Linked DNA regions of Mus musculus: region 2 is reported to be linked to region 1. Evidence: microRNA targets listed by miRTarBase, many of them from high-throughput screens and not tested one by one. Region 1 holds a microRNA gene; the other region holds the end of a gene's coding sequence.
The links. Region 1 holds the annotated microRNA mmu-miR-29b-2-5p (CUGGUUUCACAUGGUGGCUUAGAUU, at 1,392-1,416, shown strand). A microRNA usually pairs through its seed, bases 2 to 8, with sites in the 3' UTR of a target mRNA and lowers its output. Matches are read on the target gene's strand: a 7mer-m8 pairs with bases 2 to 8, a 7mer-A1 pairs with bases 2 to 7 and ends in A, and an 8mer does both.

Region 1 (4,264 bases):
TACAGGATTTTGACCCTTGTTAATAACTGCCATCTAATCTATTTATGACCTAAAGCCCTCCCTATCATGGGTTAGAGTTCCTAACCCTCAGGCTCTAATTTTGCCAACCAATGTCAGTGTCACTCAGAAACCCAGTGTATAGATCTTCCAGCACTCATCTGCAGCTAAGGCCCTGGAAAGCCCCAGGGAGGCTGCTGGGCCTTCTGTTTCTCCTCTGGCTGGCCCAGTTTCTGAGAAGTCAGTGTCAGCATTGCTAGGCTTCATTGCTATCATCTTCTCTATTGCTGGAAAGAATAAAGGGGCACCAATGAGGCAAAAGAACAAAAGCAGGTCCTCCTAGACTACTTGACCTCTTGCAGTACCAACGATGTGTTCTCATCTTCACCCAGGGATAGCATGTTTACAGTGAGTCTCCCATCCAGATTGTCTGAGCTAAATCCCCCTCCCCAGTCTAGCTCTGAGTTCAGTTCAAGAGAAAAGAGGTCACAGTCAAGCTGTGGATCAAGCAGCAACAGTGGGCAGAGGGAAAGGAATATAGACATTAGCTCATCGTATCCTGTGACTACAGTTTCTTGTGCAGACATCGGAATAATAACCTACTTCACTGGAATCTTGGAACAATTGAATATTGTGACTCTGGGGATACTCACATTATATTTGCTCTATTACCCCAAAACAGCCAGGAGCCATAAAAAAATATGCTTGTATCTGGAAGCCAAAAAGTTTTTCTGGGGAACCTGAAAAATACAGCTCTACTCTTTGTCTCCTTTCAAAGATGACAGTTGTGACATCAGAGGAAATATACAGCAAAAATGCAGTACAATGTGAAACATAGCTTGTGAATCTTATTTTTAGGTACATTTTTAAAACATACCTTGTTTTGTGTTAGAGGGTTATCTGTATAATACAGTGTTAAGATACCAGCTTTTAAAAAGACATTAGGGGTTAAATCAAATTGCTAGCCTACAGGGTCATGGGATAGAGAGCAGGAAGGAACATACTCTTTTTGAATAATACTTGTGGAAGAGTTGTCCTGGCACAGGTGACTTACTTGGGTTCAGTTGTTAACATCTCATAGGTCATTGTCATTGTCTTGAACAAGTGACATATCTACCGACACTATGCATCTTGGGAAATTACATAAATTCAAGACATTACAAATGTACATATGTTGAATGGATTTGGTTCTTTTATTTCATTGTGTATGATGATTTCTAATGACTAATGTGAAGTCACACAGGAAACAAGCTTTGCATTGTTTTTGTCTGCTCAAAGTGTTGGCTGTATGGCTGTCATCTGCGTCTGACAGGCAAAATGATTCTCAGGGCTGAGGCTGGTTCTTCTGACTGCACATCTCTGCTTTCTTCAGTGAGATCCTCTTCTTCTGGAAGCTGGTTTCACATGGTGGCTTAGATTTTTCCATCTTTGTATCTAGCACCATTTGAAATCAGTGTTTTAGGAGTAAGAATTGCAGCACAGCAGAGGGTAGACTACAGAGGAACAGCTGTACACAGAACTGGCTCTCTCCTTCGAGAAATCAAGGGAAGACTTGAATAGTGACATTTGCTCTTGAGTCTGTTTGGTTTAGAGGCAGTGATAGTGAGAAAGTTTTTGTGTTCAGAATGTATAAGGGTATAATCAGGAAGTGGTCTACTTTATTCAGCATTCCATGGGTGGAAGAGGGTTCCTTGGGCCTGCACTGTTCATTAATTGTAGCAAGGAAGGGGTAAGAGCTCTGTATGTGGAGGACTGCTTCATTCACATCAGTATGGCTCGTCTGAACCTGGAAGATCCATGGAGCACTCATTCAGTCCTGGTTGCAGCACAGCTGAAATCAGACTGTCACCTGCCTTGAGATTCAGACCTGAAGAACACCACCAGTCGGTCCATCTCTTACACAGGCTGACCGATTTCTCCTGGTGTTCAGAGTCTGTTTTTGTCTAGCACCATTTGAAATCGGTTATGATGTAGGGGGAAGAGCACCAGCCTCAGAACCTTGTGGTGTCAGCATCAGCATCAGCCTATCACTTCCTACGTGGGCAGAGTGGAAAAGGAAGATCACAGTTTCCTAACTTCTTTAATTCGTATGTATGTGGCTGCCAAGGTTAGAGATCACTTAGTGGGGGGTTTTAATTGTTATAATTTATTGTTGTAAAATATTCTCAGTTACAATTTCTGACATGTAGTACTGTTATAAACTAAGTACTGTTAAACGTTGGCTTTAATAAATAATTTGCTACATTCAATCTATCATGTCTGTTTTATCTACTATTTTTCATTCATAATTCTATGGCAATGAGAAGTGGTCCCTGGAAAGTTAATTTGCTGTGCCAATCATAAGGAATTGGAAGTAGGTTGCTGCATGCAGACATTAAAAATGAAGGTCATTAAGACAGGAATGAAATTCTAAAGATGAAAGATTAGCAGAGACAGAAGGTTGGAGCTCTAGGCTGAGGGATGTTACTAAATGGGAAGACTATTCTTGGTTCCAAGGGAACTGTGGACTCTGACCCTCCTCCTGTCAGTTGCTGCAGGGAACTTACTTAACTGCACTGTCATGTGGCCCTTAAAGGGGAGCAGGCTAATTTCAGTTGTATTTGTAGCAGAGGGAGTTCTACTTTCCACTGATAGTTTATTTCAACCCTTCAGTAGGCGGTGAAAAAGTTCTATAAAACTGTTCAGAGATTTGCCAGCATTGGGGGTGGTGGAGGGGCAGGGTTCATGATTGGGGAACTTTCAGGAAGAAAGCAGGTGGCCCCTTCCATAGGAGTTGCATAGCTAACTATGAACTACCTGCAGTACAATTATTTCAAGCCAGTAGGTTTTAATAACTAATGGCAAATCAGCTGCTCAGGAAGCTTCTTCTAAGCCTTCATCCCAGTTGCCTTACCCCAGATGGCTGCCTTGCCCATTTTGCTGGAAGTGGGAGGCTGTTGGAGAATTTGCTGGAAAGACTTCCCAGCGACTATGATGCATCCTGCAGCTGCAAAGCTATTTCAAGCCTTTGATTGAAGAATCCATGTTCTAAGTCACATCTAAGGATGTGCTGGTAGGAATAGCTAAGTCCCTCAGCTGTATTTTTTAATTTACCCCACTAAAGTAGGAGACTGCAGCTCCTCTAAGTATGACAGATTGGGTCTGTGGTATTAACTACACATTAAGTCTTTAAAAAAAAAAAAAACATAGCTACTCTGTCCAAAGCTCCCAATTAATTTGTACTGAAAATTTGATTGAAACTCCCCCAGGCCATGATTCTGGCTCTTTAATGAGTTAAGTGCTAGAAAGTTGAATTTAATATCAAAGCACAAAAACAATGATTTAAAATTTATTTCCATTTAGAAAAATCATAATATTCTCATTGAATACTTAAACTTTGCCATATCCTGATGTCCTGAGAAGCAAATTGAAACCAGAACACCTCTCAGTTATTTTTTATCTGGATGCTTATAGCCCTTTACATAAAATTGTCACTCTGGGATAATTTTTCATAATTGGCTAGTAATGTAGGTTTTTTTTTAACAGCACCCTCCTGAATCAGATTTATAAAACCATGCTGTCAACCCAGGTATAAAGACTTTTGTTAAAGCATTAGTTTTTTAAAATTAAGCCTTACCAGACTTTTTAGAAGTGAATACAGTGTATTTTTGTTAACTGGGGGAAGAAAGATCTGCAACCAGTTTAGTAGATCAAATGAATTAAGTTTAGTCCCTAGCATCTTTAAGAAGTTGGTCTAGGCCTTCTGTTTGGAAGCTGGCATATAGTCTCAGGAATAGATAGCACATTGATATTAACATACTTTTAAGGGAAGCCGGAGATAAATCTGTGTTTGATCTGGGGCACATTCTACCTCAGTACCACATTACTGTGGCTTTGGTCACCAAAAGAGTGATCCTCAGGTTCAGGTCCCATTCCTGCAAGCAAATACTATTTTAGCTGGCTTTAGAATGGGGCTCAGATGAGTCTATTGTAGAGCCAAGGCTGAGAGCCACTTCTCTATTTCTGAAAAGACCATACTATTTTGGTCATAGTTATGTGCTGCCAGTTAATATGTTAGTGCATAAATTTCAAGTCAGTACTGTAACAAATTAGTACAAATGTGATATCTTAACACACACAACATTCTTAACAGGTCTGAATAGCAGAAATATAACATTTTCACTGGATTAGAATCAAGGTACTATCAGACACAAACGCTTCAGAAATATGAAGGAAAAGTAGTTGTCTTGCTTCTTTCTGTAAACAGGCTGTGTTCTTTGCCTTGCTC
Region 2 (4,264 bases), not on the chromosome of region 1:
GGAGCAGAGGCTGGGGTGGTAGGGAGAGAATGGGAAGCTTAGAGCAGTGGGGAGTCAGCGGGATAGGGTGACAGAGAAACGGAGAAGAGCAGGGGGGGGGTGCAGAGCAGAGCTGGAGAGATGGAAAGAAACAGATTGGGTGAGAAAGGCAAGAGAGCTAGTGATGTGGAGAGATACAGAAAAGGAGGTGGGGAGAATTGGAGATGGGAGAGTAAGTGACTGAGGCAGACAGGAAGAGGAGATAGGATGAAGAGAGAGAGAGAGAGAGGAAGAGAGAGAGAGAGAGAGGCCGAGATGGGGACAGATGAGGGACAGAGAACAATAGGGAGAGACATATATAGAAATAGACTGGGAGAGATAGGGAAACAGAGATGGAAGTTGAGGAGGCTCAGAGATAAGAGACAGAAATGTAGAGATCCTGGTGGGGAGAGAGATAGGGGGAGCCCCTGTACTCTGGCAGTGACCCCGGCCCACCCGCAGGTCCTTGCCCTCTACAACCAACACAACCCGGGCGCTTCGGCGTCACCGTGCTGCGTGCCGCAGGCTTTGGAGCCACTGCCCATCGTCTACTACGTGGGTCGCAAGCCCAAGGTGGAGCAGTTGTCCAACATGATTGTGCGCTCCTGCAAGTGCAGCTGAAGCCCCGCCCCGCCCCGCCCCTCCCGGCAGGCCCGGCCCCGCCCCCGCCCCGCCCGCAGCGCCCGGGGCTGTATTTAAGGACACCTGCACCCCCCCTCAAGCCCACCTGGGGGGCCCATTAAAGGTGACAGAGGACTGGTGGTCTCCGTGTCATTGGCCGCCGGATTGCGTCTCCCTCTTAGCTGACGCCCCTACCACATCTTGTCCCTTTCTGTGCAATCGCCTCCAGCACTCCCTAAGGAACGCCGGCTTTGATCCCAGAATTCCAGGGGGCGACGCTGAGGCCCAGGGAAAACCCTATTAGACTCAGGTATCATCTCTTTAGGCACCGTTCACAGTGCTTTATACCTCTGAGCATCCACGAGGCAATCCGGGAGAGCCTGAATTCCTGCTGGGATGAATTCATTTCTTGGATGATGAGTATATGGAAGAGCAAAAAGTGCTGATACAGTGGGTTGTGGTGGCCCCATGTGACAAGTCCCTGCATTCAGGAGACTGAGGCAGGCAGATAGATATAGCTCAGGCTAGCTCAGATATAACCAGGCTACTGGTTCAGAGTTGAGTGTGTGGTACTGAAATGCCTGCAGTGGGAAGGCAAGGGTTAGATAAGGAACTCTGGGGCTTCCGGGTTACATTAGACCCTATCCCAAAAAACCCCCAATTCACAGAATGTGGTGGCACAGGCCTTTAAGACCAGCACTCAGGAGGCTGTAGCAGATTGGTCTCTGAGTTTGAGGCCAGCCTGGTTTACAGAGCAAGTTCTGGATACACAGGACTACACATAGAAGAAACGGTCTCCAAAATACCAAAACACCAAATCAGTAGTTGGTGTTGGTGCTGACTATGTCACTGGGTGAAAGGAGCCTAGGGGGAGGGGGAGCCACAAGAAGGAAGTGGAATCAGGGAGTGTGTGTGTGTGTGTGTGTGTGTGTGTGTGTGAGAGAGAGAGAGAGAGAGAGAGAGATTCTTGGAAGACCGGAAGTGACAAGTGACAGCCATCTTGGGGTGTGCCACTGTGTGAGGAAAGAGAGCAACGTGACTGGAAGAGTCTAAGGGAAGGGTGTTGGGCGCTGAGTCAGATCCAAGTCAGCACAAGCCAGGGAATGACAACTCTCCTACATGTCAGGTGTGTGGCTGTCCTTGATCACAGCTTTCTTCCCACAGCCTGACAGAGCAGGGGCTGGCCAAGGTTGGCCCCAAGCCTCCTGCAGCCTGCAGCCTGCAGCCTGTTTCTGTAAATAAGTCCCGCTGGCTCACGGCCACACTCGCTGCTTCCTCCACATACTGTTTGGAGCCATGTACTGTTTCTGCAGCCTCGTATGCAGGGCCAGCAATATCACCTGGTCCTTCTGGAAAACCTGTGAAGATGGGTGTGGTCTGAACAGGCTGCCTGTAATTTGAACAGGAGGCAGAGGCAGGAGTATCATCACCACAAGTTCAAAGCCAGCCTGATCTACATAGCCCCCAGCCAAGCAGAGCTAAGTATATGGAAAACCCCTCAGTCCTTCCCACTCTCTCCAAAAGCTTGCTTATCCTTTTTGGGGGATCGTGTGCTCTTTACAGGAGGAAGTATTTACACACACGGAAGGTGGTTACTTCCTAAATCCACAGAACTTAGTTAGTTTAGCATCTGCACATGGATCTAAGACTGCTTTCTTGATCATATCTTGATCAGGAGTATGGGACCCCAAAAGAACTTGGGGGACACATAGCCTTACCAGATGAGCTAAAAAGCTGTATCCGAGGCCTCCATTTCTGGTAAATCACTGCGAGTTAAGTGAATGGTGAGGAACTCTGTCCTCAGTCACCCTGCCTCCTCCCTTCCTGGGGTTGAGAGAGAGAGAGAGAGAGAGAGAGAGAGAGAGAGTGCACATGCATGAGCGTATATGCATGCATGTGTCCTCAGGAAGATAAGTTACCCAGGCAAGAAAGACCGGCTGCCTGAGCCTAGCGAGTCCTGTGTTTCATCTCTTCCCATCTGCTGGGGGGAGCTTGTGAATTCTCTCCTGCTTCCTCTTTCTCAAGCCCGTTTCCTCCTTTCTCCTGTGTTTCACTTCCCCTACCCTCTGCCTTTCTCAGGCCCCCAGGGCTCCTAAACTTGCTTTCCACTCAGGGAGTGTCTGGGAGGGAGGGAGGGAGGGAGGCAGGGTGACTGAGGGCAGAGTTCCTTTGGTTTGAGGTTGACAGCACTGAGCCTGGAAGAGTGGGTCAGAGGCCTCCTAGTCTCGTCCCATCAGGGGCTGAGAGCCTCTGAGGAACAGGTTGGGGTTTGGGGCAGGACAAGAACATTTGTCATTGCCACTAGCTCTGGCCTGGCAGATACACAAACACGCAAGCAAGAACACAATCAGGATTGTAGTCATTCAAGGATTGCTGAATAGCCCCACTACCCCCAGCAGAAGCCAAAGTATGGACAGGGTCCCACAACTACACCAACACATTCACCTCTCAAGACTAGTGACATAGATTCTGACACCTGGCAGTCGACACAGACCACACATACAGACTATAAACAGTCCAGCCCTGGGCCCTCACAGGACATGACACAAGTAGAAAGTTTGATAGAAAAGGCCATCACATAAATATACATTATAGGGCCAAGCTTGCACCACATGCCAGACAGATTCACAGTGTCAAACACACCAGACACACATCACAGCATCAGAGCCCAGCTGGGAAACAGACTACTCCCCCCGGCAGTTACACAAACATCCTCCACGGGGTCATGGTCATTGCGTGACCCGCTGCAAACCCACTCATACCACACACGCCGGGGTTTCATACACGTCACAGTCCCAGCCAGACTACCAGTAGGTCACAGCTACTGTCTGACACTCTTCACACACACCCACTTGCCTGGGGAGTCCCAAGTGGCCCCACAGACCCAGACACAGTCACACCCAGGATCCCAGACTAGTAGCTCCCACGCACCCAGACACACCCCCAGGATTGCCGAGCCCTTATACCAGGCCTTCATTCCCAGAGCCTGCGGATATGACAACTGCTGGCTGTGCCCCATGTCCTGCCCACTGGTGACATAGCCCACCCACCTGCCTGTTGCTCCTAGGCAGGCCTGGTTGCTGGCAGGCCTGGGGGAGGGTAAATTGCAGGCTCAGCATCTCTGCTGCCCTGGCACTTGGGCTCGATGGGTGGCCTGACCCAGCACAGGACACATCCCTCCTACCCACCAGCATCTACCTCACACAGGACAGACAGGATACAGGGTTAGGCAGCTGGGGCACGGGGGAACTTGTGGGAGGGAGTCTGGGTTCCGCCTGGAGCCCTAGCTTCCCGTCCAACTTCCAGGGCAGGAAGCAGCCAAGGAGGCCTGCACAGGCCTTCCTGTCCCGTCCTGGACCTGCTGGGTGAGCGAGGGTGGGTAGGGTGGGAGAGGCAGGAACAAAATTTCCCCTGAAGCCTAATCTCCAGGCGCACACAGTACCAATGTGTTTTGTTTCCAGTGTGACCTTCTAGGTGTTCAGAGCAGCCCGTTCTTCCCCTCAACCCACCCCCACTGATCCCTGAGGGCTTTTGGCCTGCCTGGCTTTGTCAGTTTGGGGTGTGTGTTCAGCTCTGTGTTTGTGGCTAGCAGTGCCACATTTCTGCTGAGTGTCTGCCGCTTCAC

Region 2: miRTarBase lists Tgfb1 as a target of mmu-miR-29b-2-5p. The part of its 3' UTR that is shown has no 7-base or 8-base seed match.

The regions. Positions count from the first base shown.
Region 1 is chr1:195,035,659-195,039,922 of GRCm38, forward strand. It overlaps Mir29b-2 (microRNA 29b-2), which reads left to right and starts at 1,382; the gene lies at 1,382-1,462. A330023F24Rik (RIKEN cDNA A330023F24 gene) reads left to right here. Exons shown (of 8, transcript NR_015566.2): 8 at 1-2,250. Mir29c (microRNA 29c) reads left to right here and starts at 1,889; the gene lies at 1,889-1,976. It also overlaps a transcript of Cd46 not described here.
Region 2 is chr7:25,704,304-25,708,567 of GRCm38, forward strand. It overlaps Tgfb1 (transforming growth factor, beta 1), which reads left to right. Exons shown (of 7, transcript NM_011577.2): 7 at 481-774. The coding sequence ends at 639. Among named protein-coding and RNA genes, the nearest start is that of Ccdc97, 13 kb to the right of the region's middle.